Daphnia pulex: one gene and its partners. The protein of the gene in region 1 purifies or fractionates together with the protein of each later gene. This does not show direct contact. Links are inferred from orthologs where the notes say so. Each region holds a gene or a part of one and is shown in the gene's direction. Other genes may lie near its edges.

Evidence for each region.
Region 2: the proteins of E3 ubiquitin-protein ligase AMFR-like (region 1) and derlin-1-like purify together in Homo sapiens (affinity purification with western blotting; 4 studies listed by BioGRID, with this or other methods). This does not show direct contact. The link is inferred for Daphnia pulex from reciprocal best matches to the Homo sapiens genes AMFR and DERL1.
Region 3: the proteins of E3 ubiquitin-protein ligase AMFR-like (region 1) and ubiquitin-associated domain-containing protein 2-like purify together in Homo sapiens (affinity purification with western blotting; 4 studies listed by BioGRID and IntAct, with this or other methods). This does not show direct contact. The link is inferred for Daphnia pulex from reciprocal best matches to the Homo sapiens genes AMFR and UBAC2.
Region 4: the proteins of E3 ubiquitin-protein ligase AMFR-like (region 1) and E3 ubiquitin-protein ligase RNF185-like purify together in Homo sapiens (affinity purification with mass spectrometry; 3 studies listed by BioGRID and IntAct, with this or other methods). This does not show direct contact. The link is inferred for Daphnia pulex from reciprocal best matches to the Homo sapiens genes AMFR and RNF185.
Region 5: the proteins of E3 ubiquitin-protein ligase AMFR-like (region 1) and derlin-2-like purify together in Homo sapiens (affinity purification with western blotting; 4 studies listed by BioGRID and IntAct, with this or other methods). This does not show direct contact. The link is inferred for Daphnia pulex from reciprocal best matches to the Homo sapiens genes AMFR and DERL2.

What each region holds. Positions count from the first base shown.
Region 1 is NC_060017.1:3,096,924-3,103,466, reverse strand, and holds E3 ubiquitin-protein ligase AMFR-like, read left to right. Parts: upstream 1-2,573; 5' UTR 2,574-2,846; coding exon 2,847-3,116; intron 3,117-3,191; coding exon 3,192-3,449; intron 3,450-3,525; coding exon 3,526-3,772; intron 3,773-3,843; coding exon 3,844-3,917; intron 3,918-3,986; coding exon 3,987-4,130; intron 4,131-4,224; coding exon 4,225-4,348; intron 4,349-4,403; coding exon 4,404-4,621; intron 4,622-4,688; coding exon 4,689-5,027; 3' UTR 5,028-5,055; downstream 5,056-6,543. Other genes in the region: tRNA pseudouridine(38/39) synthase-like, read right to left, coding at 5,574-5,653, 5,727-5,860, 5,918-6,067, 6,142-6,434, 6,509-6,543. UniProt on the Homo sapiens protein: E3 ubiquitin-protein ligase that mediates the polyubiquitination of lysine and cysteine residues on target proteins, such as CD3D, CYP3A4, CFTR, INSIG1, SOAT2/ACAT2 and APOB for proteasomal degradation.
Region 2 is NC_060018.1:4,693,499-4,699,031, reverse strand, and holds derlin-1-like, read left to right. Parts: upstream 1-2,909; 5' UTR 2,910-3,025; coding exon 3,026-3,178; intron 3,179-3,243; coding exon 3,244-3,447; intron 3,448-3,532; coding exon 3,533-3,681; intron 3,682-3,738; coding exon 3,739-3,849; intron 3,850-3,908; coding exon 3,909-4,056; 3' UTR 4,057-4,197; downstream 4,198-5,533. Other genes in the region: dnaJ homolog dnj-5-like, read left to right, coding at 1-833, 927-958, 1,025-1,350, 1,410-1,753, 1,814-1,945, 2,033-2,137; MPN domain-containing protein-like, read right to left, coding at 4,301-4,567, 4,637-5,121, 5,185-5,354, 5,431-5,533. UniProt on the Homo sapiens protein: Functional component of endoplasmic reticulum-associated degradation (ERAD) for misfolded lumenal proteins. Forms homotetramers which encircle a large channel traversing the endoplasmic reticulum (ER) membrane.
Region 3 is NC_060027.1:3,139,015-3,145,679, forward strand, and holds ubiquitin-associated domain-containing protein 2-like, read left to right. Parts: upstream 1-2,420; 5' UTR 2,421-2,579; coding exon 2,580-2,619; intron 2,620-2,719; coding exon 2,720-2,850; intron 2,851-2,930; coding exon 2,931-3,013; intron 3,014-3,101; coding exon 3,102-3,251; intron 3,252-3,338; coding exon 3,339-3,507; intron 3,508-3,586; coding exon 3,587-3,814; intron 3,815-3,915; coding exon 3,916-4,033; intron 4,034-4,130; coding exon 4,131-4,279; 3' UTR 4,280-4,579; downstream 4,580-6,665. Other genes in the region: inositol 1,4,5-trisphosphate receptor-like, read right to left, coding at 1-92. UniProt on the Homo sapiens protein: Restricts trafficking of FAF2 from the endoplasmic reticulum to lipid droplets.
Region 4 is NC_060017.1:4,029,006-4,034,789, reverse strand, and holds E3 ubiquitin-protein ligase RNF185-like, read left to right. Parts: upstream 1-3,427; 5' UTR 3,428-3,552; exon of another isoform or gene 3,553-3,589; intron 3,590-3,665; 5' UTR 3,666-3,677; coding exon 3,678-3,847; intron 3,848-3,919; coding exon 3,920-4,103; intron 4,104-4,271; coding exon 4,272-4,383; intron 4,384-4,440; coding exon 4,441-4,550; 3' UTR 4,551-4,750; downstream 4,751-5,784. Other genes in the region: small G protein signaling modulator 1-like, read right to left, coding at 1-28, 322-473, 679-746, 808-1,014, 1,155-1,317, 1,594-1,669, 2,522-2,565, 2,692-2,716; anaphase-promoting complex subunit 7-like, read right to left, coding at 5,054-5,128, 5,191-5,311, 5,399-5,544, 5,609-5,658, 5,721-5,784. UniProt on the Homo sapiens protein: E3 ubiquitin-protein ligase that regulates selective mitochondrial autophagy by mediating 'Lys-63'-linked polyubiquitination of BNIP1.
Region 5 is NC_060027.1:834,725-841,079, forward strand, and holds derlin-2-like, read left to right. Parts: upstream 1-1,975; 5' UTR 1,976-2,120; intron 2,121-2,183; exon of another isoform or gene 2,184-2,212; 5' UTR 2,213-2,322; coding exon 2,323-2,415; intron 2,416-2,478; coding exon 2,479-2,544; intron 2,545-2,602; coding exon 2,603-2,770; intron 2,771-2,840; coding exon 2,841-2,963; intron 2,964-3,051; coding exon 3,052-3,215; intron 3,216-3,300; coding exon 3,301-3,448; 3' UTR 3,449-4,135; downstream 4,136-6,355. Other genes in the region: high-affinity choline transporter 1-like, read right to left, coding at 1-125, 200-310, 399-597; transmembrane protein 17B-like, read left to right, coding at 5,025-5,136, 5,225-5,328, 5,399-5,710.

The sequences.
Region 1 (6,543 bases):
AGCTACATTAAGCTAACGGCATTATAACTTCCGCTTTCCCGTTTATCGCCTTTGACATTGACATGAATTTGTGTTAAAAAAAAATAAATTGAAGAAAATTTGTTGATCACGTTTCCTTTTTTTTTTCATTCGGGAGGGATGTTGAAAGGACTAATTTAGGTACGTCGACATGAACACGCCCACACTCGATTTTTCCGACAAGAGGAGGATTCCAATTTCCAAGCCAATATTAAATATCCAGCGGGGGGAAAAAAGGCCTAACTGAATCATAGTATGCCACGTGAGAGTTCGGTCACGGTCACGCGTGCAGGCATATTACGTACTACTTCTAGCTAAAGTTCTAAATTGATATTTTTTAAACCTGCAAAGATGTATTATTTTTTGATCCGTCGAGCCGTTCATCATCGATTTGAGTGCCATTCTTAAGTGGAGATCGTGCGGTGTTAGTCGAGCGGACGCTGATCGTCCCACTGCTGCCATCACAAAGTGCCAGTAAATTGAAAAGCGATCAGACCTTTGGCGTTCACGTTTACTGGAATCACGTGAACGTTTCCAAGAATCAAGAAATTTAACATCCAGGGATAGGAATATTTCAAAATAATAGATCGGTTGTTCAATGGCCTAAAGGTGAATTCTATATTTACGTGTTGGCCTTCGCGTCGGCATCTACGCCGCAACGTATTCGACTAAGCTGCAGTATTTTAAAAAAGATGCATCTTTTATTTTTGAAAAAAAAAAAGAAGTTCGTTGAATTTTCTTTATTTTGATAATTATTTCTCGTGTCATCATCATTAGTCCGGATAATAATTTAAAAAAATTACCTTCGAAGGGCATTGGAATTTCTTAAATACGAAGAATAATCGACGATAATGTTTTGCACAAGTTTGATAATAACACGAAAGAGTGATCCATCCAATTAAAGGAAACGAACAAGTTTCTTTAATATGGAAAACCCCAGCGTGATTGTCGTTTGGTCTTGTTTCGCGTCTCCAACGCGACGAAATTTATGGCTTCTTCAAAGTCACATGCAACCGACTCGTGAACAATTGCTGACGCGGGCCTGCTCCAATAACTAACCCGTTTTTAATGGACGCACACATTTAGACTGCTCTCGCTCATGGAATAATAAATAAACAGTCTTTTAAGAAATACAACTTATAAAATAGAATTTTAATCAAAAGAAAAGAATTCCATATTTCTTTACTTGACAGGTTGGAAGGTCGTCTACGAAGAATAGGTCTTAATTCGTCTGAAAAATAATTGGAATGATAGCCAGAATTCGGCTTTGAAGCTATATTACCCATTTAATGCTGGGAGCTGTATAGCGGCGTTTTCCGCAAACATATCTTGTTGAATTCCAATAATCCAAATTTGGCTCAACCAAATAACCTCGCAAATAACAACTTAACACTAACATGATAAACATAAATGTTAACTGCTTGTGAAATGCGTGTTGTAAAACGCTACAGTATAAGAAATTGGAATAGAGCCAAAATGAAAAAAAAAAAAAGATTCTCTTTAAAGTGCAGAGAAAGAGAAAATGAAATGAACTTCAAAAGTCACTTCAATTACTTAGCCATCCCTTGTTTTCGCAAAGTTATTGTTGCTTCATTTATTTATATTGAAGGATTACCACTACATCGGATAAAAGCGAAACAGGGCGCAAATTTCAAATGGAAACCTTGACCTGTCGTGACCATCAGGAGGTACGCGATAAGACTTTGGTATGTAGTGGATTCAAATTGTCTCGAATGTGAACATTTACAGAATTTAACGGTTCAGTTACTTTGCAGAGCTGACGCCCTATTGTAACGAATGTTGAGGACGCAAATCAGGCGTTATAACAGTGCCGTGTGTGTGCAAGGACACCTTCTTCCGGTCCCCATCTGGTACGAAATGACACGCTACTTTTTTCATAACCGCCCAACAAGACGATAAAATCGGCTAGACATGCAGCTAGACAACGTTTTATTTCTGATGTTTCTCCCTTTTTTCTGTCTTCCATCACGCGTTGCCATCAAAGCAGAAATAATAATAGTGAATACATTTTCTTTTCAAGGTTGATTCGGGAGTGCAATTTAGATTAGCGTAATTGAGTACTCTTATGCGTGTCTTAGGGCAGTGCCATAAAACTGAGCATTTTTGGTGCGGGAGAATGTTGCGGAATATTTAGCGAATATATCTCAGAAAATTATTAAGGGATCTTATTGAAGTTGTTTCTGAGTAAAAACAATAAAATCTACTCAGACTTGTGACGTATCTTTTTCATTTTTAATAACAAACCAGTATTCGTCGATCTAAAAACAGATTCAGCCCAGTCCCAGCATCACATGCGTAATGAATAATTGAATATTTATTAGCTTGACTGTCCGAGTCTCCGAGAGCGCAATTCAGTCTACATCTACATTTGAGAACATGTATGCAAAGTTGACATTGAATACATTTTTTCCCCTGGGGATAGCGAGACGAAATCTGCCTTGTAATTTTTGCATATTTTTGACCTTGCTAGAAAATAGTTTGCTGGAACTTTTTGAGGTTGACGCCCAAAACGTCAGTAATTTTTTTTCATTCCGTTTGCAGTGTTTACGTGTACTAGATGCTGTTTAGCCTTACCCGCCTTATCAGAGTTTTGACACATTTTCGGATTATTGAATCATTTGACAAGGCACTTGTTATCGAAATGGTCGTTAGATAACGCAGTGTTATCAAGATGAAATTGCCTTGAATTGCTGTGCTAGCTAATCCTAGTTATTTCTGCTGATGTTTTCAAATGCAATTTTCACCCCAGATTTGTTAGTAGTTTTGTCGTCTTGTGAACCCAATTTTTCTGTGTCAACAACAACAACATGCCTGTCTTACTACTTGAGAGACTACCTCTCCCGAGTTTGGAAGCTTACGCGGTAGTCAGTGTTTCTCTTTTGGGTTTGTCTCTTCACTACGCTGCAGAAAAAACACAAAACCCTGAATGGAGGATGCAATTTGTTAAAACGAATAGCAGCCAAGAGATTCCCAACTCCTTGCAAGCATTTATTTCAAACATCCTGTCTCGTTACTGGCTCAGCTCCAGAGCTCAAGATATTGTGTCATTTTCTATCCATGACAGTCTCTGCATTTGGGTTAGAACATGGCCATCCTATATTATTAGTCAATATCCAACACTTTAATCCTTTTTTATCTTCTATCCTTTACAGATTGTTGTGAACATGGCTTACTGCCTCCTTGTATTATTTGGAAATTGGCTGCAGAAGCAGGTGTTTGGGGAACTAAGAGTTTCTGAACTACAGCACATCAAAGACAAGTTTTGGAATTTTGTGTTTTACAAATTTATTTTTATATTTGGCATTAAAAATGTTCAAAGTATGGAAGGTGTTATATTATGGGGGTCCTGGTTTTCTGTTATTGGCTTTCTACACATTCATGCTCAACTTTGCCAAGACAGATTTGAATATGTAATTGGATTTTATCTTTCTTTTTTAAAAGCTCAAACAGGTATTGTAATTTATCTTATGTTTGGCGAAATTATAGTTATCTATGACTCCATGTACCCCTCGAAATCGACACATCCGCTTGCTTACCCTGCTGGGATCGATTCTGGTGGCATCGGGATTATTATTTTTGATTTGCCTCGCCGTTGGACAACGCGCTGGATGGATTACATTTGCCTTGGTCGCCCCGGAATGTCTTCTCTTGGCTTTACGTACCACCCACGTTATCTTTAGATACATCCTCTACCTGCAGTCTTGTCATCCGCCCATCCATCAGATCTCTCAAGGTTACTTGAGTTGCGCATTCGCAACAGAGACTCTCGATGTGCTCAAACATCTGACGATTGTTGGATCATAGGGTGGAGTCCTTCGTCGTACTACGTGGAATTGGCGGTGGAGATTTCATGCCTCGTTGTGGATTTGGCACATCATGTGAGACGAAATTGCTTTCTGCAATGCGACTGAATTTCGGTAACCCCTTTTTTGTCTCTTTTCGTTTAGATTCACATGCTTCTGCGAGCGAATATGCTGCTCTCTATGGCATCTTTGGTCATTTTCATGCAACTGCGAGTGCTCTACGAACAGCTGTGTGGACGTCTCCGGCGACACGGGAACTACAAACGGTTGCTGAAATTGGTGGAATTGGTTTGTACTCGAGTCGATCTAAAATATCTTAATCTCCCCTTCTTCTGCCAAGTCTCTAGTTTTAATCATTTAGTAATTTATTCTGTTATAATAGTGCTGTCCCTTGGAAACACTCCATTTCGAACTCGAATCTGAATGGGAGGATAACAAATGTGCCATTTGCTGGGAAGCAGCAGCTGTAGCCAGACGGTTGCCGTGTGGTCATCATTTTCATCATGGTATTGATTCATAACAATTAATGAGGCAATCCTTCATCTATCTATACTTGTATAGGTTGTCTGTTGCACTGGTTGGAACAGGATCCTACGTGCCCTACGTGTCGACGCCAACTTTTAGAAGATGGATCGAAAGAAACTGCTTCGTCTTCACGTCCCCGGGAAACTGCAAGTTTTATATCGTGGACGGGCTGGAGTCGACTGTTTCAACAAAACACTGATACTCCGGTAGTAGCAGCTGCAGAAAACTCTCAATTGGAAGCTTTAGCTGATCAGGTGTGACGAAATCTATCATAAAATTCTACTAATTCTTGTTCAACAATTTAAATGTTTATCGTTGTAGGTACTTCAATTGTTTCCCGATTATTCGTTTTCTGTTATCGTTGAAGATCTACGGCAAACTCGCTCAGTAGACTTAACAGTTGAGAATATATTAGAGGGTCGTCTTCTGCCCACACTTCCCAGCTTTCAACAAGAGCCTAGTCTATCTACGTTGCCAACATTCGCCAGGCAAGAAAACCAATTTGATGTTTCCCAGGAACCAGAGAAGCTCTTTGTTGATGATCCGCAAGAAAGACAACACATTCTTCAATGTCGTAAGCATGAATTAATCGCGGAAGCTCGAAATCGCTTTCTTCAGAGACAAGCACTCGAAAACAATTCCACTATCATTGAAAGTTGATTTTCTTGCTATACACGTGTGATTCTAATTTGTTATTGATCCTAAAGTGCGTAAATTATGCATTAGTGCATCTCATAATTCAAAAAACCTGTTTGTATATTGGCAAGGTAAATTATGAGTAGAAAGATAGTGCCTTTTTAATAATTACGAAATACCGCTTCGCTCGACTGGGCGTGGAAGAAAACCCTCTCTATGCCGCAAGCTAGTCCCATCACACAGACGTTCACTGTCAAACAGGGCCTACAAACGTGATTTTACTGATTCACTACCGACGAAGTGAATGCGCAATCAATAGTAACATTTGATTACCAAACATGTAGAGGACGAAATCGGAAATGTGTGACATTTTTTTTCTTCTGAGATTAATAAATCTTTCCCTTAATATCTTGAACAAGAATAGGTGATTTTCTTTCAAAAGTAGCGTTTTATGCGAGTATAATATGGCTATGGCAACAATTTAAACCCCTAAAAATTCAAATTAAATAAAGCATGATCCTTGGTACAGAAGTTTTATTCACAATTGCAGTTTTAACACATGATCAGGCATCAAGGGCAATTGGCGTCAGTTTCAATTACTTCTATTCGTTGGCGCTTGGCGTATACGTGGATACGCTCTTCCAAACTTTCTGCAATATGTATATTTTAAAACAGAAGTGATAAGTTAAGGCATTTTAATACCACGTCAAGTGAATTCAATACCGCATTTTTGCCTTTCCATTAACGGCAGATACGTTTTCGGTTCAACTCCATATACCAGACCTTTTAACTGACTTTCAATTTTGTCATCAAGCAAACCTTCTAGGCTGTTCAACATTTCTTTAATCATCGTCGCCCTACAATAATAAACATTAATAAGATTTCACAAAAAATTCGTTTCTTTTATTGCTTACTTAATGCTATTTTCGGCCCAAAGCGTCTGATAACCGCTTATCACATATCGAAGAGATTCCGCATCGTAAATCCATTGACAGTCATCATCGGAATAAGTACAAGTGAACAAATTAAGTGGAATTTCAGACGCCATCCCATACTGAGGTTTCCTATGATTGGATAAAATAATATTTTAAAAAGTATTTAAAAAAAAAACAAACAATTTGAGTCGAGTTACTGTTACCTAGGATTGCGTTCAACGTCAAGTAATTCTTGGATAATTGTCGTTTCTTCTTTACCTTGTCCAATAAGAAAAAGTATGGCAACAATACACCTGACTTGATGCCAGAGAAATGCTTGTCCTATTAATTTCAATCGTATCATTGAATAGCTATTCGTCTTATCATCATCGATGGCTTCAATTTGAATGTCCATTATTCGCCGATCAAATTTAATGACTCCATTGCCCACATCCATTTTACACAAGTTGCGAAAGTCGTGTTCCCCAATCAACGATTGTGAGGCGACTCTCATTCTCTGCATGGATGACGATTTAGAGAATAGGTATATTAACGATTAGTAAATACAGCAAGTTTTTTTTTAAATTTTACCTCTATATTGAGATTAGCCTTTGGAAAGTAATAGT
Region 2 (5,533 bases), on another chromosome or scaffold:
TATTGGCTGATAATACAGCAGCATCTGGAAGATGTTTAAGAAGATTCAATTCTGATATACCCTCTTACTGTGACTTTGGAACTTACAACCCATTTCAAGGTAGCCCCCTAGAAATTGCCAACTTGAGCCTTCTAGAAACTCGACCCGTGTTGGAAGAGCAAGTTCAACATATTACTGAACCAACATACGAGTCTGAACTGCTGCAGGAAGAACCTGCTGAAGTAGTTCAAAGTAAACGCACTTATAAAGATGTTCTCACTTTCGCAACAAGAAGTGAAAGCCCTGGCAATGTGAGTGAAGAGCTGTCCAAGAAATCAAAAGTGGAAAATGAAATTCGCAAAGAAACTTATAAAGAAAAGTTATTGAGTCCAAAACAAGAAACACCATCCAGTTTTACTAAAGCAACACCACCCCCAGTGAAACCTGGTTTAAACAATCACAGAAGCCAAGTCAATACTAACCAGAAGAGACCATTGAAAATAAACAACAATTTGGCATCTGGAAATAATACGAAAGGCAATGCCAAAAGCCCGAGCGAGAAAAATTGGCATTCTGTGAATGAATCGGTACGCAGTGTCCGGTCTCAAACAGATCTAGGTGGAATTAAAAAAAAGAACCGACCGTCTTTGATTGATAGTCCTTCTTTTGAGCTACCACCATCGGACGATGAATCCGTTACTCCAGTGGAAGTTCGCACGAAAGATCTAAAGAAGAATGAAAGGATTAAAATCAAAGTAAAAGAAAAGGACAGTGAAAAAACTAATCGACGCCAAACCAAAAGAAACCCACCTCCCAGCACCAGTGCAACACTTGCGCGTGCCTATTTCCCTAAGGTGGGTTTCTATCAATAAGGATATTCCTCCTACATTTGGCATTGCCTTCATTCATAAAATTCACAAATTCTTCTTTTACTTTTAAAATTACAGCTTGCTCGTTTCTGTGGATGGTTCTTCTTGTGGTAATATCCGTATTTATTTATATCTTGTTTGAATTTGATGTTAATTGACACCTCTCTTTTCATCAGGTTGTACAACTTGTGCGCTGACGTTATTCAGATGAGTTGCAATTTGATTTGGGTGGGACTTCAGCAATGCCGCACGGTTTTGTGGGAGAAAAGTTTCTTGGTCACTGAATGGATATCATTTCAGACACGGACTTGCCGTCAATATGTTACAACTAATTGGTTGCCGTCCATTCGTGAATTTTTCCGATTTTTTCAACGCAAATCAGCTGACGAAGGAAGCAGCACATTAGGTGGTTTAAATGCCAATATCCCTTTACCTGCTACCGGAGAAGAAGCTATGCATCGTTTATTGGCTTGCAAAGGAAGAGATCCATACAGCATCCTGGGTAATTGGATGTAGACTTCACATTTAATTGACATTTTCGCTATAGATTTTATTTCTCAGGTGTTCGACGAGATTGCTCCGACGAAGAGATTCGACGTTACTACAAGCGACAAGCTGTTTTAGTTCACCCAGATAAAAATCGACAACGGGGAGCTGAAGAGGCCTTCAAAATCTTAGCGCATGCCTTTGAATTGGTTGGTCAGCCAGAGCGACGCAGCCACTACGACCAATTAGTACAAGAAGCAGACGAGATGGAATCTGCTTGGGCCGAGCTCAACGAGCTACTCTCACGGTTGCATGCCAAAATGGACGAGGCCGCAAACACGATTCGGTGCACCAATTGTGCCAAGCGTCACAGAAGAGTGAAAACTAATCGGCCTTGCTATGCTGCTCGATATTGTCAGGTACATGTAAAGTGCGAAAATAAAAAATTTCCTTTTTTCATTCATTTTGTTTTTTAATAGGATTGCAAAATTCATCATTCCGCCCGCGAAGGGGACCTATGGGCTGAATCACGATACATGGGCTTTCGTTCTAAATACTACGCTTGCATGGAAGGTGCCGTTTATGATATCACAGAATGGGCAAATTGTCAGGTATTTTACTTCGTTTGTTCTATGTCTTGATTGTTGATTAAATTAGTATTAGGTCTTGTCTAAATGGAATAAATTTTTTAAATTTAGGCTGGACATCTTCGTCATTTGCAATCTAATTCTCATCGCGTTCAGTACCGTATAGTTCCCGGCCAAGGGCAACCGAGCAGTGGAGGTGGCCGTAAATCAAGTTGATTCTAATAAACGCCTTATTGTCTTCAAAATTATGACATTGATCATTTTTGTTGTTGTTGATTTCTATTGCTAAAGTGTCCTATCGGGTGATTTGTAACTAATACCTTTGGTGCCTTTTTTTTTCAAACAATTTTGCTTTGTCTGGTATTTGGAAATTTTCTTTTGTCGTAGAATCTCGTAACGAGGTCCCCCCCCCCCTCCCCAATGATTTGTTCCTTCCTTCCCAGTTTAATACACATGGTAACTTATCTGTGTTGCCATCAGATTAAGCATGTGTTGAGAATTTGTACAGTTTAATAAGGAAAGTTTTTGTCGACAACCCGGTATCATACGATTCCTTTGCGTGGTAAAATAGTTATTCTTCTTTTTTTCCCTTTAAAATTAATATGATTAGTTTTTATTCGACTCGTTGCAGGATGCATTTCGAATCTGGAATCTGTCTTCTACCACACATTTGCTTTCCTGCCTTTAGAAACACAAATTATGAGGAAAAACAGTCATACTCATAACGCTAATCGTTTTAAGGATTTTCTTTATCGTTGGTAGTGTATTAACTGTTTCGGTTCAACTGCGCCGAGCACTAAGGTCTTGGCGAATTAATTTTATTGAATAGAAATCAATAGTCCTATCATCATTCTAATTATACTAACCTTTTTTTTTTATTTTTATTTTATTCTTTTCCATTGGTGATTCATAGATGGCATTGGAGGGGATGACTGTGCGATTTGATTTTGGGTTTTGGCCTTGTTTTGTATTTATCCTCTAATGACACGTAAGTGTTCGTCTGCTTCGATTTGATCTTGACTTGAATTCGATTGAGATACACATTGTTCTTTGATACATTTCCTTTCAGATAATTTGGAAAAGTGGCTTGAAACCTTTTTAAAGATGAGTGAGCTAAGCAGCTGGTTCAAAAATTTGCCTATTTTCACAAGGCATTGGTTCGGACTAACTATTGCGTTGTCACTAGTTGGCAGATTTGCCATTTTGAGTCCAAAATATCTTATCTTGGATTACCATTCTATATTTGAATCATTCCATGTAATATGTTGTAGTTGAATATTTTAGAAAACATCATTCTTATTCTTAAATTGATTGTTCAATAGATATGGAGACCAGCAACAGCATTATTTTATTATCCAATAACACCAAAAACAGGATTTCACTTTCTCATCAACTTGTATTTCTTGTATAACTATTCTCTTCAACTTGAAACTGGACTGTTCAATGGGCGACAAGCTGACTACTTTTTCATGTTGCTATTCAACTGGATTTGCTGTGTCATAATTGGACTCCTAGCTGATTTTCCTGTAAGTATTTGGTTTCCTGATTCCGACTACATGTTGCTTCCTAAAAGACCTCATAATAACTACAATAACAATAATTTTTTTCTAGTATTTGATGGATCCAATGGTACTGAGTGTACTGTATGTTTGGTGTCAGCTAAATAAGGACACAATTGTCAATTTCTGGTTTGGAACACAGTTCAAGGCAATGTATCTTCCTTGGGTCTTGCTTGGATTTAACTTGATCATTGCTGGAGGGTAAAGAAACTGCAAATAATGTAATTTGTGATATACTAAATTCTTTTACTACAATAGTGGAGTCATGGAACTTGTTGGAATTGTCGTGGGACATTTATACTTTTTCCTCACGATGCAGTATCCTCAAGAATTTGGTGGTCCTTTGCTCTTAACTACTCCGCAATTCCTGTAACACGCCATTTTATTTATTTAACTTTAGCAAATATGTTAAATACTTCGTCTTTCAGATACAAATATTTTCCGAATCAACGAAGCGGAGTACAAGGATTCGGCGCGGCACCTCAACCTAGGGCTGAGTTTAGAGCAGCTGCACAGGATGCAGGTCCTCGACGCTATGACTGGGGACGTGGAAATGTTTTGGGTGGCCAAAACTAGCCTCACAATGGCCAAAATTAAACCCCGATTCTAATGTTTTGATGTGTTTATGTTAAAGAAACGATTATCGTCCCTCCTCCCATCAATTTCTGGAAAATGTATCCCTTTAATCTTAAGAGAAATTTAAATTTACTAAATTTGTCTCACTCTTTTATTCATATGTATTATTTGTACGCATGATTCCCAGATGGCTGGAATTTTGCAAAGAAAAACCTCGATTCATAGATTTCGCGATTTTCTTGTCTCACATACACGAGATTTCTTTTAGGTTGTTTTGGGGTTCAGGGTCTATAGGTTCTGCAGGAGATTTTACGTCGGTGAGATCTGTTTTCGTTTTCACTTTGGTCATGTTGCTGAGTGTGTCAACCAAATCGATAATCACATCATCTTCGCTTTGTAAGCTGGACTTCAAAGTCGCTTTCAACTTATCCAGAATCGTGAGTTCATCAGACCAGTTTTCGTCAAAATTTGTGCGGTCAGGAGAATCACGGTAAAATTTAAGGCAAGCTTCCTAATTTAGCAAAATGTTAAATAAAGATTGGTTGTAATGTCATTAGAGAACTAGTAAAGTTTGCCTTACCAATTTAGGGACTACGTCATCTTTGACGGTGGCGTCATACACAACGTTGTATTGCATGGCCATAGGACGTCCAAGTTCAAGTGGTCGAGATTCGGTAGGAGGAGACACCCAGTAGCACGTCAAGTGAGTGGTCGACGTTGATTGGCTAGGTTCCGCGTGATGGAACGGTGCTGAATAAAAAAGTAAAGTGAACAGGTAATGATAACATATAATAGTAAGGAATATTTCATTACATGAAATCATCGCTACGCAAGGTCGGTAACCTTGATCACCAGTTCCTTTGAGTTTTAATTGATACTCGAGTTGTGAATCAATATCTTGCACAGTTGGAGTGGGCGGTGATAAAGGGTGGCTATGATACCATCCTACCAAGCAAAGTCCAGCACTCTCTATTGATTGAGCGATTTTGATTTCGGTAGCTTGGCCTCGTTTATCATCAGTCGTAACTCGATTTAAACAAGGGAACGCTTGTTTAATCGTGAGTGCTAAAATGAATCACACAAATTATTGTGGGTATGTGTTTTCTAAACATATCAGTTAGCACTCACTGTTCGTGTTAATGTCCCATTGGCCTGCTAAATATCCAACAACTTCTGAACGCGTTAGAGAGCAATGAACGTCCATTACAACAAGAGCAGTCGTGTTTAACGATATTAGAAAAGGTTGAAGTTTCCCTATATTTGCGAACGATATGGCTTCAACTAACAAATTTGGATCCCTGGTAACGAAACGACAATAAGAAATAGAAACTAGAAACAAACTCCAAACTTAAAATAATTGTTTTGTCTACTTACTCGATACTTGTCCTGTTTCCTAGCGTTTCGTGCTTTATAATTTGTCGATCACCGACAGTTTGTTTCATACTCATTTGAATTACTGGTTCAGGTTCCAGCAGTA
Region 3 (6,665 bases), on another chromosome or scaffold:
TCGTGACGGACAATTTCGATTTGCGCCGTGTGATTGGCGTAGTACTGCAGGGCCGCATCACCACTGACTCCGTCCACTGGCGGCGGTTTCATCAGGGCGGCCAATTCTTTGTTGTGCTGCGCCAACTGGTGGCACAAAATGTAAATGTTGTGGCCGACTTCTTTGGGACTAGTCGCCTCTTCTCCACCGACCAAACTTTTCTGATAGGCTTAGCAGGCAACGTCCACTAATTGGTGAGGATTCATGTTGTACAGGATCCTTTCCGCGTTCTCGCTGTCGCCACGACTCTCCATGACGGCCAGCAACAACTTGGAGGCGTTGTTTTTCAACTCCAAAACAAGATCCATTCTCCGTTTTCCTAAATAATTGATCAAATAATTATTAGAATCAAATGGAATGAAAGGAAATTGTTACCTAATGGATTGATGTCGGTAAGAAGAAGAGCCGTGATGATGTCCAGTCCATTCGACTCGTGAGTGGCGATGCAGTTTTGGTTTTCGTGACAAGGTCCTTGGCAATATTCCGTCAATGTTTCCAGGGTTTGGTTGATGAGGGTGACGTTGTGCTCATTAATGTAGAGGCCGAGCAGACCCAGTTCGCCCGTCGTCGATCCGCAAATGCAGTCGAGGAACATGAGTGTCTCTGACACTAAATTGTAACTGTTTTTGTTGGACTGGGCCCGCAAAAAGTTCTGCAGGTCTCGATTGTGATTCTCACACAGCAACTGCAGGAAGCGGAAGACGGGCAGCATTACCAGAACCTTGGCGGACAACTTGGACTCCATGTCCGAATCAGTTGCCGTAGTTAACTTTAAGGGCGAATTAAATTTATTTTTGTAAGAATTTTAATAAAATCACGAATTCAAGTTTTGTTGTACCGATTTGGGTTGTTGTTGTTGTCTCACCAAGTCCTCCAGCGTCGAGTTGACACTACTCAACGTCGTTGTAGTCGAATCATCCAGCCTGGAGCTGGATACTACAAGTGGAGGACAATCTTGGTTCCTCTACCCATGGGTTCTCTGTGATCAGGCTTGATGGTGAAAGAACCACCAGCTGAAGATTCCCAAACATACTGCTCATCATCATTGTGCTAGGAATGAACTGTCACCTTGTCGGCAACCAGGTAAGCAGAGTAGGAACCCACACCAAACTGACCAATCATGGAGATGTCAGCTCCGGCAGAGAGGGCTTCCACGAAAGCTTTAGTTCCAGACTTGGCAATAGTACCCAAGTTGTTAACCAAATCAGCCTTGATCATGCCGATACCACTAAAGAGAAACAGAACAGTCAAATTCGTGTTCAAATAGGAGGAACTAAATTTCTCAACTTACGTATCCATGAGAGTGAGTCATTCTTGTTGGGGACAATCTTGATTTTAAGATCCTTGCCGCTGTCCAACTTGCTTGGGTCAGTCAGGGATTCATAATGGATCTTGTCTAGGGCATCTGAGCAGTTGGAGATCAACTATAGAAGGTGTTGATAATCAAGCTCATAAGCTGAGCAATCTTGGCCTGGAATGTCAAAGTCTCAGCTTCATCTTCCATTTGAACTTCTCCAGGCATCTAAAAAGGGAAAGGAAAATATTTCAGTAAGAAATGTTTGTCAATTGTGGTAGATTGCACTCACAAATTGAAATTCTACATACTATCTATGGACTTGAGGCATACCAAAAAATGTGTAAATAACCAATTTGTTTGTCTAAACCAGTAGTAAAACTGGTAAAACTTACTTTGCATTTAAACGTAAACAAACAAACCCGACGCTTTTCTGTTCACGTTTGGTGGGGATCTACATGTATACAAGGCCGCCGGGCAGTCGTAAAAACTGCTACCAAATTCGCTTCTTGTTAGGCCTGCAAACTATAGCTTTTGGGTTGACACACATCAAGCCGGGAAAGTGAGCCCGTTCGACTTTGAATCGCTGTGTAAAAAATACAGCTATTAGTATATCTTCATGTGATCCATTTTGAAGACCTTTCTTTGTTTAATCTCTTTCATACAAAAATTTTCGTGATAAGAAACACATTTACGTAAATTTTGTATTAATGTTTAGTGTCGTTTTGAATTTGCAGTTTGAATTGCAGCGGTGGCGTTTCGAAACTGAGCCCCGTTTGACTTAGAATCGCTGTTTTAAAAAATGAATATAGTATATCTTCGTAAAATGTGATCCATTTTAAAGAGATTTCTTTGTTTAATCTAATGCCTACAAAAATTTGCGTGATTGGTGACACAATTACGTAAATTTAAGTGTCTAATTACTGCAATTGAATTTTGCAGTTTGAATTGCAGCGGTGGCGTGTCGAAACTGAGCCTCCTTCGACTGTGACTAGAATCCCTACGGGAAATTATTGGTTTTAATTTATACGTCCTTCGAATTTGGCGCGCTGGGAATTCGATATTCCGCGCATTGAATCCGCGCATCTTGTAACAGGTTCCCATCTCGTCACCTGACGACATTTTCACTTTGTGGTCGTTTCTTGTTTACAATGGGTTGTTATTGATAAACCCAATCTCGTGTAAATTATTTTTTTCCTGGATTTCCATTGCAGTATAACCGACGAATATACATTTCTCTTCCGCAATGGCCACGTACGTTTCACAGTACTCTACAACTGGATTCTGTATGTTGACATTTATATTAACGTTTCCAGTTTGAAAACCAAAGGTGGTCAGTAATAAAGCCATCGTCATTAAAAAAATGGAATGTTTTCTCTCCAACAGACCGAGCACCGGTATCAAAAGGGCTGATGGGAGCTTTGTTCATCACCTGCACAGCCATCCATGTCCCTCTACTGTCTCATCTACGGCTGTACCTCATATGTCAACTGCCAAACACTTTCACGTCTGGCGAGGTATTTCCATCATCTGCTCAAAAAGCCAGCATGTGTGAGGAAGGTGAAAGTTTTTTCATTACACAGTCTTTTGCTAACAGGTGTGGAGGTTGTTTACATCACAAACAGCCTTTCTCGAAACAAAAGATTTAATTTGTGCAGCATTGCTTATATACTACTTCAGGTAATTCCCCTTTTCTGCATATAATATAGAATGAGTGCCCAAACCAACCATCAACCATCTCTGCTTCGTTTTCTTAATTTTTATGTAGAGTGTTTGAAAGACGACTGGGCTCCAAGAAGTTTGCTTCCCACTTGCTTGCCACTAGTCTCATTTCGCTTGGGCTGCAAGTACCAATCATTTTGCTCATCAGATCCACAGGATGGGCCTCATATCACCATGGGCATCTCCCTCCTGGCCCGTAAGTCTCCTGCATCACTTTTCCTTTTTACAGACACATGCAAAAACATCAAATGTTAACCATTATTTTTCTCTCCCAAAAATAAAGATATGGATTGATCTTTCCACTCTTTGTACCGTACCTGTGCGATATCCCGAGAATGACTCGTACACATATCCTTGGGATACCCATCACAGGAAAAACACTGACATATTTAGTAGGTCTGCAAGTGTGCAGCACCTCTTTCCCGACGGCTGTCTCGGCATTTTGCAGCATTGTAAGTGAATTTCGTTTTCCTCTTGGTCGCTTTCATGACGCTCGAGGCGTGACAGACATATATACTTTTACTTGCACAGGCTGCTGGACTGTTGTACAGATGGAACGTGTTGAGGGTTCAAGACTGGCTGGCCATACCCGATTGGCTAGCCCGGATAACAGACATGACCTTTGGCCGATTATTATCCTCATCACCACCCGCCGACGGGCCGATGGGTGCCACGTTGGAAATTCAACGCCAGGAGCAAATGGAGAGGCTTGAACATCAAATGTTGCTCCAACGATCCCGGGACGGACCTCCTCGTCAGGCAAATGAATAATTGTTTTTTTGATATTCCTATATACCCACGCCGAGTCCTCAATTTCCTTACGTATAATACCTGAGACGTGATGTTTTTTGGCCCTATAGAACACGGGGCAAGGCTACGCCGAGCGTCTCGTCGGTCCCGAAATGCAGTGGGGCGAGCAAGGTGCCAACGGACACCCACGGCGCCGCCGAGATTTCCCCAATATCTTCAATCCGAACGGTAATCGAATTTTTTTCCGTTTTCAAGAATGTCTTACCTATTCAACGTCCGTGTTTTCGTTCGGAATTCTTTTTTATTTTATTTTGGGCGTTGACAGAAGTTCGACCGAACGACCCAACACCACCGTCCGAAGAGAACGTGACCTTCTTGACGAGTATGGGCTTTAGCCGTGACCGTGTCATGCGAGCCTTACAAACGACTGGAAACAACGTCGAAGCAGCCACCAATTTACTCTTACAGGAATAGTAAATCGGAGAAAAGAAATTAAAAAAACAACGTCAAAAAAATTAATTCATTATTATTATTTTTTTCAAGTAAACATGAATAATAATCTTACCCCAACCCCCCACCTCTTTATTACTTATTGTGTCGATGTAATTCTATTTTTTTCCGATTCCCAAATTGTGAGGATATCATTGTTTTCATTTTTATTATGATAAAAGAAGAACCATTTTGTCGTGATTCGTCAATTTTCTTTTTTGTTTTGTGAGTTTTTGAAAACTGTTTGTTTACAGGGTGGTAAAACACAGAAATATCAAAATGCAATTCTTCTCTTAAATTCATCTAATTTTTTCTCCTTTTTTTTCTTTTCTTTTTGTGTGTCTAGTCTTAAAAGAATGATTACGCGATATCAAACAATTTTCTTGTCTGGCATCGGGTGAGAAGTGGAACAGCGAAGAGTCAGCAGTTCAGTTCCGCCTCGACACCGATTCCAGCGACGAGGAAATGGTTTCAGATAAAGAAGAAGAAAAAGAAGAAAAAAGGAAGCCAGCATGAAAGAATGATGAGGAACAATTCGACACTTTCTTTCGACTCCCCTCTTCAATCACCGCAGTCTATAGTCTCTCTCTTATCTACATCGGGCGGTTGGGGAAAAAAAAATTGGCCGGCCACGGTGCGATCGTCGAAGAGACCCGACGTCTCAGTCTGTCGAGCGGCGGGACCAACGGCCACGGAATACACAAATGACGTCAACCGACCGAGACCGAGCCATCATCATCATCCCCGAAAAAAAGCTACGGCGAAGGCAATGAGGTAATCGCTGCTTTTTGTGTTGTCCCGTTAAACTATTGGCTGGGCCAGCCCGCCGTCTCAACGGGAGATCGTTTTTCACGCTCAACAAGTCAAGTCGACGACGACCGATCTTTCAAGATGCTGGCCGTCGACTCGCTTTCTTGTTGTAAGAAAAATGTATAGACAACCATTCTACTACTCATTTATTAGACCGGATAGACTTTTTTTTTGGACAAAACGGGCCGACCCGGAATGATTTCAATCCGGTACGCCGGATTTTCCGGTTATTATTCTAAGGCGTTCTATTCATTTCCTTTTTTTTTTATTCTAAAACAAAAAAAGAAAATCGATAAAAACCCCCCCAAAAAAAGAGGAGAAATAGAAAAAGAAGGCCATGCTTGGTTTAGTCATCAAGGATGACCAATAATTTTTTCGTTATTTAGGTTACCGGCACCCCGCAGTTCCGTGTATACCTAAATGACTTTGAAGAAAAAATATAAGAATTGAAATGAAAATAATAATAAAAGGATGTGACCACACAGCAAACACACACACGCACACAGCAATTGAGGAAGGGTTCTATTTAGACGTTTGAATATCATTTAACTCTCGTTATATGGTGTTTGTAATCTACTCTAAGCAATTTCGAAAAATTACCGCGTCGGTTTTTTTTATTAGCGGCTATTGTCACGTCCGACTGGCAGCAGCAGCCAAACATTAAACGATCAAATGGACTCGAATGTTTCTTTTCGTCTACAAGAGCGGTGAATCATCCCTTTTTTCAAGAAAGAAAGAAAATAAAAACCAACCAAAAAGAGAAAAGAGAGTGAAACTGGGTCAATTATAAATCGTGATATAACCAATGCAACTAAGAGAGGCGTCAAATACTCTAAGGAGAGACTGCGCGGAACGTGACCTTCTTGTGTTTCTCGTGCACGGGGGTTCATCTGCCAAAAAATGATCAAACTCCGTAGAAACCTGAAACATGTGTAATAATAATACGGGCGTCCAAAATGTTGAGATAGAGAGAAATTTTCGTTTTTTCATTCTAGATCGTGATATGCCTTCAACAACAAGAGGAGGAACAGAGTCTGTAGATAGACGCAGATGTATATACCTATACCCCGGTTGTCCTCAATTCCATCTGCTGCTGCTGCTGCTGCTGCAAAAAAGAACGAAACAATTTCTCTTCCATGTTTTTATTGCTATTATGCTCAGCAGTTGTGTTTGTTAGTTACCAACTTTTGTGGCTTGTTGCGCGTCTTTTACGCTTCAAATCACAATATGCACGTCGTCCCTCTATACTCTAGACGCTGTGGCTGCTGGAATATTATTATTATTACTACTCAAAAGTAGGTCAAATGAGTAGTCATTATCATTAGCACGGATCGTAGCATCTCGGTAGTTATCGCACACGGCGCCCTCTGCTGATGTTAAATGCTCCAGCACCGCCTTGCGCAGAGAATCACAGCGTCTCTCATCCGCCCGTCTCTAATAATTATGAGCAACACACCAAGTAGTTAACACACAAAATTCCATGTCTGAAATAGGCTTACACATCCAGCAAACGAAAATAATAACCGTTAAAATATTTTTTAAAAAAAGGATAGAGCTGTGT
Region 4 (5,784 bases), about 930 kb from region 1:
TGCTACCTCCAGGTAAAAGTTTTCGGTACTGCAATCACAAAAAAAAAGTTTGAATGCAGTAGTAATGAATATCTTATAATCTGGATCAGTTTTAGCATTTTTAAATGAGAAAAGGTTCGCAATGTATATCATGATTCATTCGAATGAAACGTGCTGGGCTACTAGCAGAACTCAGAATGGGATGTAAATAAAGCGCTTGGAGCGTTACTTAAGCCCCTACCGGTAGAGGCTAGAACTAAAGACTAAATTAGCTGCTCAAATGACATAATTAACATTTGGATACCATTAACAATAAATAATAGAGAATACGATGTAACTTACATGAAGTCCTGGACGTCGATTAGCTGGAGAGGTTACGCCTGACGATACGTAACTAGAAATACGATGCCTCTGAACAAGTTCGTCGGCAGGTGGGTCCGTCCAATAATGATCCTTGGTTTTTAATTTGGTAAACTCAAGAGCACATGGACCAGCTATAAAGAGAATAGATTGTTTAAAAAATAAGATACGGAATTTCTAACTATACACAATTAATACGATTTGACCAAGTATTTTGTTTTAAATATTGAAAGATAAACATCGCATTTGTTCGCAACATTTTGGGGAAACGTACTCGTTCTCCTTTTAAAAATATACATGGAAAACATATAGACCTACAATGTTCATTTTTCAACTCACCGAGAAGATGACCTAAAAGGGAGCCGTATTCAGGATCTGCGACAAGGGCGTCGTTTTCATAATATTTCCTATGGTTCAATTTACTATAATTAATAATCAATAAATGGAATCAAATAAAAAACCACTTACAAATGATTCTCAACGATATGCTCAATAATCCCTGCCAAAATGCGTTCAAAAAGTGCTAATCGGATCCAAAGATATTTTTGTGTACTGGTTCCTTTAGATAACCACGAACCCGAATTTCTTTTCTGCAAAATGGGCTTGATACCGCTTCCTCCCGTTCCTCCGCACGAAAGCATTCTGGTGATGCTATCTCCGCTTGAAGACGATCTTCTGTGCATAAAAAAAAAAAAAACAAGAACAAACAACAATGTACATAAGATACGACTTCAATTTAAATCCGAGTAGCCTATAATCTGCCTATAATCTATGAACAATTAAACTTCAAAGGTGACAACAAAATTTGCACATACTTTACTCCTTCAGAAGAATCGGCTTCTGTAATGAGCTTTGAAATTACTGCAGCAGGTGGGTATATTTTGGCAACTTTATGCATCAAAGCCGTGGTTGACGATGAACGAAAGAGCCCCAGCGCTCGCCGCCGAAGTCCATGAGACAAGCACCCCTCTACGGCGGCTGCCAAATAAATTTTGTAACGTAAAATATTAGATCTAAAAATCATACCAGTGTATAAAATATCACGTCCCAACAAATATTTGCACAACACTGAATTCATTCAGATTAATCGAAAATTTTAGCAAAATAACAATTAATAAAAGTAAGAGACTTCCGGTCGAATGATTTTTTAAAATGGATAAATAAGCGATAATCGCAAAAATATGGAATCAGCGATCAAATGTGTAGCAACATTCTTTACACATGCATTACTTTGATCAAATTTTATGAGCTTACCACAAAGGGATGTGACGGAGCTGCTGTCTTGGTGCACAAACTTGCGTGTCACTGCCTCTTCCATGATTTGTTTTACCTATGTGAAGAACACAGTTAATATTTTATATATTGACTAGTAACTAGTAATATTCAGTTGGTAACTAGAAAGGGGGCGGAGATGCTTTTGTCAAGGACTTTCATAAATTTTTACCCAGTTACCTTTTCATTTGGTTTAACTTGCCTTTTTCGTCACATTGTTTTTTCGTTTCCTTTTTTGTTTTTCCTGTTGCTATTTCCCCCTAGTTTCTACGAAAAAAGTACCAGAGTGCGGACCCCATGACCAATTGACCATTTCAAAACGCCGTGCGCAAGCGTGATGTCGACGGCCGGTACTTACTTGATTAATTTCAATATGTATTTAAGAAAAAACCGCTAACCTTCTTAGCCACGGTCTTTTGAAAAGAAAAAAAAAACTTACAACTTTGGCTGAAATTTTTTCGAATAGAAAATTATCGACTAAAAAAAAGATAATCACAGGCTCGCAGCCCAGGAGTGAAAATGCTGCAAATCATTCCCTATAAAGTATAAAGACAAATGTGGGTTGGATCGATTGCATCTACTCGTTTGACAGTGTTGCCGCTGTGATAAAATACCGTATTTACGATGTCTTAGCAAAATATCAGAACCTTATCCTATTACCCAATAAATCGACGACGAGCTGTTTATTTATGATTTATCTCATCTTACTACGAAATTAATCCAATGAAGAAGAAAATGATGTTGCGACGTTAAAAATATGGCTTTCAATTTATGGGGCGTAACACCTATAGTTCAGTTAGCGATCGATACGTAAGTAAGGCTGTATTTGTATACGTTTTAAAAAACCAAAATCCGGTGTATAGATTTTTAGTTTTTCGCATTAATCAAAAGATAAAATGCGAGTCCTTACCTCTTTTTTTACAGTTTTGATAAGACGTTCTTTGAACTCCTTGTCTGAAATAAAAAATTCTGTTAGTCATTCTCATGCAATAAATGTATGATATTGCTTCTAAAATTTAGAAAAGTATGTTTTACTATAGTGATCAGGTTATGTCTGACCGACTAGCTTCCATAACTTACCATTTGATGAGTGAGCCATCTTCATAACAGGTGGATAACTAGAAAAAAACAGCAATCGGCTTCCAAATGTGCATATAACGTTACAATTATTACGCCTTCAGATCAACACGACAACTTATAGCGGGGCGGCCAATTGGCAATTGCCAATCTACGAAGGGTTCAGTGTGTTGGAAGTCAAAAGTTTATGGTAAAATGGAGTAGTAGAAGTTCGGATTGTACATGAATACACTATCGTCTTCGGGCACTTGTTGTCGATGTCCGTCAAACTAAAAAACTGGTTGGTTCGACAGCCTGTGGGAAGCACAAAACCGCAGCATGAACGTATTCACAGAGCTCAACGTTTTACGTCACCTACGGGTAGCAATGCGCTTGCGCATGTCAAATGTTTTCAGTGTGTATAATTGAAACAGGAAATGGCCTACAAATATTTAAATCGTGTTGTGTCAACGTTATATTTGGATGTCATCGTGGGAGAATCAAACTCCACGAGATTATTTACAACTTGACTGCGCCAGCCATTTGAATGTTATCCAATGATCAATGCCCTATTTTTCAAATAAAAACTCAATAATTAATAGTCAACTTTTTTTTTGTAAACATTTACTTACTTTGCAGTATACCTTCATCGAAATAAAATTTTAGTTGAAAACATGGTTGAAAAAATTTCCGTGTAAATAGATGTGATAATATTGCCGAATCTAAAAAAAAAAGTGAAATTGGCAACCTTTATGACGTAGTTGAGTTTTGTATTGAATAGTGAATAGTCAGTCAGTGGCCTACTGAAAGTGCAGCAGCTGGGAATGAAATTAAACCAATGTTAAAGTTCACAGACTAGATGCTTTAACTTTGAATTATCCAATTGTAAACTAGTATTCTAATTTTCCATTCAACGTTTTTCGTGAGTGGTATTAGACACGTTAAAAAAAAGTTAAATAATATTGCTAGTGAATGTAATGAAATGCTTGTATTTTTAGGTTTTAATTAGAATGGCTGTAGATGAAGAACCCGACACTACTGCGAAAAATAGCGCAGGAGGTGACAACACAGAAAATAAAAGAAATGAAAGTAGAGGTGAAGAAGAAAGAGCCTTTGAATGCAACATATGTTTGGATACGGCAAAAGATGCAGTCATTAGTATGTGTGGACATCTTTTTTGGTACAAGTCTAAGGAATGTTTCCATGTTTTCAGAGATTGTGTTGTTTAATTTCCCTGTTTTATTACATGAAGCTGGCCGTGCTTGCATCAGTGGCTGGAAACAAGACCAAACAGGCAGTCATGCCCTGTCTGCAAAGCTGCTATAAGCAGAGATAAAGTTATACCATTATATGGACGTGGGGGCTCAAAAGAAGATCCAAGAGAGAAATTGCCTCCTAGACCTCAAGGTCAAAGGACAGAACCAGAAAATACAGGAGTAAATATTTATATAATTTCACTACATTTCATTGTGTAAATGATGAAGTTGGTAACACATATTGTGTACCCTTACGCAAGTGTAAAATAAGAATAATATTTTTTTATTAACCATGACCAAACATTTCAGACTACTGAATCATTTTCTTTTTCAAATTTACTTTTTCAGGCTTTCTCGAATTTTGGATTTGATGGGGGATTTCAAATGTCTTTTGGAATTGGAGCCTTTCCATTTGGATTATTTGCTTCCACTTTCAACTTTGGTGATCCTGTTATTAGAGGTGAAGATACATTAGAAATCAATCAACCTGGTTAATAATAGTAAAAATCTTGCATAGGTCACGGAGCCCATGGAACAAATCCTGCAAATTTGGAAGACGAACGCTTTTTGTCACAATTATTTTTGTGGGTTGCAATTCTTTTTATCTTTTGGTTATTGGTAGCTTAAACTTGTGGTTCTTGGTTCTTCTGTGTTGTAAATTTTTTATTCTAAAGATTCCCGGGGTTTATACTTTTAATGAAGTATTTCTCGAAAATTTCCTAGACAGTGGATTTATATATATGAAAATTAAAAGTGAAATGTTCAGAGATTGCAAGTCTTGTTAAATGAAATTTTTCCCTTATTAAATAGATCATTCGTGAATAACATTTAAACCATATTTTTTAAAATGTGTAGAAAGGACTAGACTATATATTAATTAAATTAGTTGATCAATTGGTTGTACAAGCTGGTCATCAAGATATTCTTGGGGAGTGAATAACAAAATGAAAATAATTACAGTATACATGAAGTAATCCTCAGAGGACACCTGAGAGAACCAAATATGGAAAAGGTAGGCTAATTAATTTTTCATTTCGATGATAAAATCAATAGAATGCGGGAAGCGCTAATAGGATTATACTTTTTGTAGAAAATGTATTTTTGAGTGATTGTACAAATAAATCATGAAACTACCGAAATTGATCCAAGTTCATGTCGGCCCACATTCCACCCATAGGATCGATGTCGACTTCTTCAATGGTTGGCTTGAAAACGATAGCTTTTAACATATGCATATATTTTGTTTTTCACTTTAAATTGAATTTACCTCTTCATCAGAATCAGGAAGATCATCAGCTTCCAAATCCAGATGATTTTCTAGTTTAGCTACCAATGCGTTTTCAAGCCTATTGATGGCCTCAATGGTTTTTACGTTATTCGGTTCAAGCCTAAAATTACAAAGAAAAAAATTAAACACATGCATAGTATGTGAATATGCAAGTTAAAGTAAAATCAAGTGATAAAGATTCTCGTACATTAGTGCAGAATTGTACTGTTCCAATGCTTTATCCATATCTCCATTTTTTATGAATAGGTCTCCCAAAATATGATGTAACCTGTTTGTAGGTTGCTGATTTATTTGCTTAGTAAGCAGTTCAATGGCTTTTGATCTCTGGCCAGCCTGAAAATAATTGTAGTCAATGGTAGTTCAGTGAGTGGTTCTGTAGGATTGTACAGCTACTCACCTGCTCATACGAGTCGATTAAAAGGAATACAGCTGGAGTGTATCGAGGATCTACAACGGAAAACGTTATACAATTTTTTTTTTACACCGGAAACTATTCATGTTAATTTTACCCATGTTCAAAGCTCTTTCAAGGAAAACCTTGCCCTTTGCGGTTGTAACAGGATCCTTCAACAG
Region 5 (6,355 bases), on another chromosome or scaffold:
CAGGGCCGGCAAAAACAATAGCCCACCAATACGTGAGCCGTATTTTTCCTGGAAGGGATCGAGCATGGTAACATATCCTCGACCTCCGTGGGCCATTCGCATGGGTTTAGCGAAAAACATTCCACCTTTTTATCCAAAGAATAAAAATGATGAAACATGATTTACTATAGACACACTAATGAGGCAAACACACACACACCAAGTAAGAGGCTCATGGAATATCCGATCGCCATTGTAGAGCATTTTAGAAAGCCACCAGTGAAGGCGCTTTCACAGGTGCCGTTGATGTAACCTCCTGCTACCCACGTCGCTGTCGTAGTTGTTGTTGTTTAAACCTGCTTGTTGGAAACCAAATCTACCCCTCTTGTATACTGAATCGGGACAACACTCATCGTTACCCGTCATCGTCAGGACTCCGACGAACAATCCCATATCACGTCCGGCCAGCATTATGTTCTCCGACAGGTTAGCACCGCTTTCCATCCGCTGTAGCTGTTTAAATTTCCTCTTTTCCTTCCATCCTACCCAAATTCCAACGGCCAGGATCAAACAGTAGAAGAAAGCCACAGAGATGACGCCACCGATATTCACGTTCATCTGTAAACAAAAAACTGGACAAGCCAAAGTGATAAATTGTCACAAGGTCAACTGAAAAGGTAAAACCGAAATATAGGGATAATAACAAAAGGCTACGACGACGATATCTTACGTTTGACGGCGTCGCTATAACTTATCACTCGGCCAGTCTAGTCAGACAGCAAAAACCGATTGGAGAGCCAGGCGTAGGTGCGACTGCAGCCGATGTTCCTCACTCTATATGACTGCGCACGTGCGGCGGATGTTCAGCGTCGCGACGATATGGTTGAAAATGATACACATCTGTCACGTGATCTTTTGGTCGTCAAACGAGACACTAGATTGTCTTCTAGTAGTCACGGCGATGATGAGGCAAGAGAGTAATGTCTGCCCAGTTTCCTTTACTCAATTTCTTGCACTAGAGTTTTTGGTAGCAACGACCGTTGATTGGCGTACCTCTCTCGTCTAGATTTCGTGCTCCTATAAAAGTAAAAACAATTCAAGATTTTACTGCAAAACGCAACAGTTGTGTAGTGAATTTTTGCATTGGGGGAGAGACGACGTGGTATAACGGGAAGTGTACTAGAGACTCAATAAAAGTGGCCTTTGGAAGAGTTAGAGGGAGAAATGAGGGTATCCCAAAAATAGAATTACAGAAGGTATGCATCTTGCTGGCCTTGTTCCAGTATACATTAATGGCTCTGCCAGAAACAAAAAAGCCTTTCAGCATCTCAAATCATTACACAACTTACTAGCTGTAGTAGAATTTACAGATAAAATAATGAAAGCTACTGCTATGTAATTTTCTATCTTATGAGAGAGCCAATTCCTTTCTTTGTATTCTTTATTACCTAATCTGTTCCTAGAAATTGATACATGAATTGTGGTCGGTCAACATGTACCAGGCTATAGTAAAAAGAAAACACACTCATCGAATAATTATGTAAGAGTAAAATACTTGTTTTGTGATGTGAAGATGGTTGCTCAATCACCTATCCCAGCATGAACTGTTACTCAAGTTGCATATATCCTTTCACATTAAGAAGAATTTAGAGTTTCACAAAAGTCAATAACCGTGGAAATTGTAGCCAACCATTTTTCAAACCAAATATACGAACTACGACACTCGACCATGTGTTTTTGTTTTATCTGCAAGACTGCACTGAATGCACCTACTTCCAGTTTCATCATCTCCCTCCCAATAATAAATAAAGTAGAAGATGGATGATTTATCGCCAAGACCCGAAATGAAAAATAAAAACTAGGGGTTACGTCAACAAATTCAATTTAGTCAAAATAAACTGAGGTTCCAACGGTTCAAATCACTCGAATCTTGGATGGAATAATAATCAAAAAGTTGTCTGCTACATCAAAAGAGGCGCCATTTACACCGTTGCAATAGCAACCAAAAATTGATCTTTGGAATTCCCTTTTTTTGACATTTCCGTTTCTGCTGTAGCCTCTACAAATTGTCCACGTCGACCAAGGGGGGTTTGTTAAAAGAAAAAATAAACAAACCAATTTGACTCTTGGGAAAAACGATGGTTGGTAGTGTTTCGCGAAATCCTTACATTTTTGGATAAATCGTTTCTTGATTGTATTTCTAGGTATTCATAAATTGTTTTTCTTATTTGAGGTTCGTGTTTGAGCTGGTCATAGTCCTTTGTATACAATAACAGTATACAATTTAAGTGATAAAACATCATCTTAGTTGACTGTTGATGAAATCAATTACAAGAAAGCACCATGGCTTACCACACATTACGCCAAGAGTATATGTTGATGCCTCCAGTAACTCGGGCATACACCACTGTTTGCTTGCTCACTTCAATTGCAGTGGTAAGTAACACTCGAAACTTTGAAAGGGACTCAGTAATCGACTGCAAAACATTTCCTTTTCAGCAACTGGATGTGGTGTCACCTTTTCAACTGTATTTCAATCCTTTGCTCATCACTCAAAAGTTTGAGGTAATAGGATTGGTTTGCTTTTGTATGGTAGCCAAATCATGTAATCTTGTATTTGCAGATATGGAGGCTACTGACTCCATTCTTCTTTTTTGGGACATTCAGCTTCAATTTTCTGTTCAACATGATTTTTACCTATCGCTATTGTAGAATGTTGGAGGAGGGTTCATTCAGAGGTAGAACAGCTGATTTTGTTTACATGTTCATATTTGGCTGCATCACAACAGTGGTAATTATGAAAATTTGCATGAATTCCTGTTTCAAGTTTTTTTAACTATTTGCTTTTCTCATGTTTTTAGATATGTGCTTGGTTTGTAAATTTATTGTTCCTTGGACATTCGCTCACCACGATGTTCGTCTATATTTGGGCTCGGAGAAATCCTTACGTTAGGATGAATTTCTTCGGCCTTCTACCTTTTCGAGTAAATAGGACAAAGCAACTGCAAAATTCAAAACACCCTGTGCGAAAATTAACCGATAATTTTTTTCTCTATCCTGACATTTTTATAGGCCCCATATTTGCCTTGGGTTCTCGTGGCTTTTTCAGTTCTTTTAGGCAATAGCGTATTGGTGGACATTCTCGGGATCGCCATCGGTCACTTGTATTTCTTCCTGGAAGATGTGTTTCCTAATCAGCCTGGAGGCAGAAGACTCTTGGCCACGCCTCGTTTACTGTATGCAACAATTTGGCATTCTCGAAAAGAAAAACATCAAAGATCGGTCAAGGGGTTCACGGTTTCTTTTCTTTTCCCCCCCTAGGAAACTTTTGTTCGACACGCACACTGAAGACCCTCTTTACAATCCGGCTCCTGACGAGCGTCCTGGGGGTTTCGATTGGGGCGGTGCTGGTGCTCCGGGAGTGGCAGACGCAGTCGCCGACCAGCCGAGAGAAAACGAAAATCAGTGAGGAAAAGAAAGAAAAAAAAGAGAAACAAACACAATCGTCTTTTTGAAAAATTACTAAATGGCAAAAGAAAATACATGGAAATTTGTTTAATATACAGTTGTCGATGTTCGCCCTCATTATTCCTTCTACACAGTGGCCCGGTTTTCTTTCGCTTACCAATGACCGACTAGCATTGACATACTGCTTTGTTGCAACGTTTACAAATATCCAGCGCTTTCCCCTTTCTCCTTTTATGGCCATCTTTTAACCGTGTCAAGTTTACACGCAATCAACCGTACTCGTAGTGTCCATAGTGCAGTTCTTCGCCCATCCAACTCGAACATTTTGGGAACACACAATCAAAATCGGAGCGCACTAGATAATGAATTAATATTCTATTGATGTGAATAAACAAGACTATTCCCTTTTTCGCTAGCTCAGAGATGAAGGGGAGGCGGACCGACCATAAGTCAATCTGAGATAACCGATTGCGAATTCTAGTGAAAAGGTTCTTTGAACGTCCAAGTTTGCACCGAGCGCACAGCGATTTTGTTTCAAGCCAACAAATAGGAAGGAGCAGTTGTCAACCTTGAAAATGATACATTCCCATCTGAAGCATAAATGTCCAAAAAACTCGATTGCATTACGACGCCTTGTTTGTAGTGAATGCGCCAAAGATTTCCAAATACACAACTTGAAGGTCGCAAATCTGTCAAACTAACAAGACTTGCTATTTGTTTGGAGTCATTTGATTTTCTAATCCTGACCTGCTACAGAGATGATGCTGCATTGGGAAAGGCTTATGCTACAGCGAGTTCACTGCCCTGATCACACACGCAGTCCTCAATTTTGTTTTGTTTCTTCAAGGATCTTTTGAACTGCTTAAAGATGTTTAGTCCACCAGATAGTGGAAGCAGATACTGGAGTTGGGAATGTTATAGTCTAGAATTGAAGAGATAAGTAGAAATCAAACCTGCACGATGACGAAAGAAATCAAATAAATTTAGTTGAAATTGACTCTTGTATACATAAATCTAATTAAGAAACAGACAACTTAGGCATTATTTTTTCTTTCCTTCTCCTCAAGTAGTCTGAGATATTCCCGTTCCTCTTTCTCCTTCATTTGGCGAATGGTGTCCTCAAACATCTTTTTGTTCACCCTGCTTTCGGCAGGGTACATTTCTCTCCTCAGATTGATCATCCAATCTTCAAAATACTCTGCCTGGTTAAAGTAATAGAAACAACCAACTGGGAAAATCATGTACATCCCCATTTTGGCTGCTTCCAGTTGCCAGTTTCCCATGTTTGGATTGTGAAACCTGGACAAGAAAGATGAAAAATAATTTTCCAGCCATCGATCCTACAAGTTTTTTCACAGCTTACTTGCTCTAATATAATCGCCAAGTATTTTATTCACAAAACAAGTTTGTACGTGTACCACACAGCACATGTAATACTGTGACGGGAGAAAGTCACGAATGAAAACAGCTGAGTTGTTCTGCTAGAGTCGTTGCCATGGCGCCCAGTTTGAAATGCCCAAAACAATCGGCTGTCATTTCGTTCATAGCCAAAAGCCATCGTCGAAAGCGATGAAATAATGGGAAGACAATCAGTTCAAAATGTTGTGGATTCTTTCAGCGATAGAATATTTCCAGGTCTGTCGGATATACCTCAAGATTTCTCATTCGTATCGGGTCAAAGTGACATAGGTAACTTCAATTCTTCTCAAATCATTCAAGTTCTATCTATTGCGTCTCGTACTTTATGCTAAACGTTTGATTGTTTTATGGAGCAAAGTTTATGATGTCCAATCAAGTTTGGTACTGCAAATGTCACTATACTTCAACTTGGTCTACTACCCAGTGTGGCTGGCGATCATCCTGGCATCATTTGTGGCAAAGGTATTTACATAATACGAAGAAAAAGTCATTGTCTTACATTTCACTCATCATCTCTTGCTACATTTGGCAGCACCAATGTTTTGGCTGGTTCTCGTATCTCCTTCTTGGAATTGGAGTCTCTGCCTGCTGTGTGACGGAAGCCACCAGGATCTACTTGGGCATGTCTGGCAACCTGAGCGAGCAAGTGGCAGAGCTGTCCACCTTCTGGTTCACCACACTCCTGGTCCAGCTGCCACTTGTGACAATCATCCTGATCGTGGCACTCAGCCTGAGCCAGATCCTGGAGATTGTCGCCTTGTCCATCTCCAGTCTCCTGATGGCAGTCCAGCTGTGTGTCTCGTTCGCCACACTTCGTAACGTGGCCCGCCTTCGCCAATTTTAGAAACCTTGAGCCAGGCGAGAGAGAAACTATACCTCTACGTCTCTCTCTCTCTCTCTCTTACTTTAATTTCCACCTCGTGTCGACAGGTTTTTCTTTCGTTATAAAAGCGCATCAGGGTTCTGTGTGAGACGACGAAAAAGAATCAGATAGACAGAGAGAGAGATGAAAATGAAAATGAAAAAGAGAGAGAGAGAACTCTTTTGGTAGTATCTATATGCACGCGAACCGCTCGCTGGAATTTTGTTGGGGTTTTTTCTTCTTTTTTCTGGCGAGTGACCAGCGACCTTGACATGGCGGAATGAAACACACACACACACAGACTCCGACTACTACGACTACTACCACACTAAACTATACTCAACAAATAAGCAGCAACCAAATAAGTGAAAGGAGGTCCGATGAGTCAGAGAATCTCACAGGATCGCCACAGAAGAAGAAGAAGAAGAAGAACATCCAAATGGTGTTTGGACAGAAAAACGAAGATAGGGAGAGGGTGTGAAAAGATATCGTCTCAAGAGCTTGTTATTTCCCCTTTTTGTTTTCTGTTTTGTGTCGCACACAAATAAAACAATTCGACAGGTCATCGGCATCACTACACTCGACGAGGTCACCACGAGTTTTGGGGGAAATCTTTTTTTCGTCTTA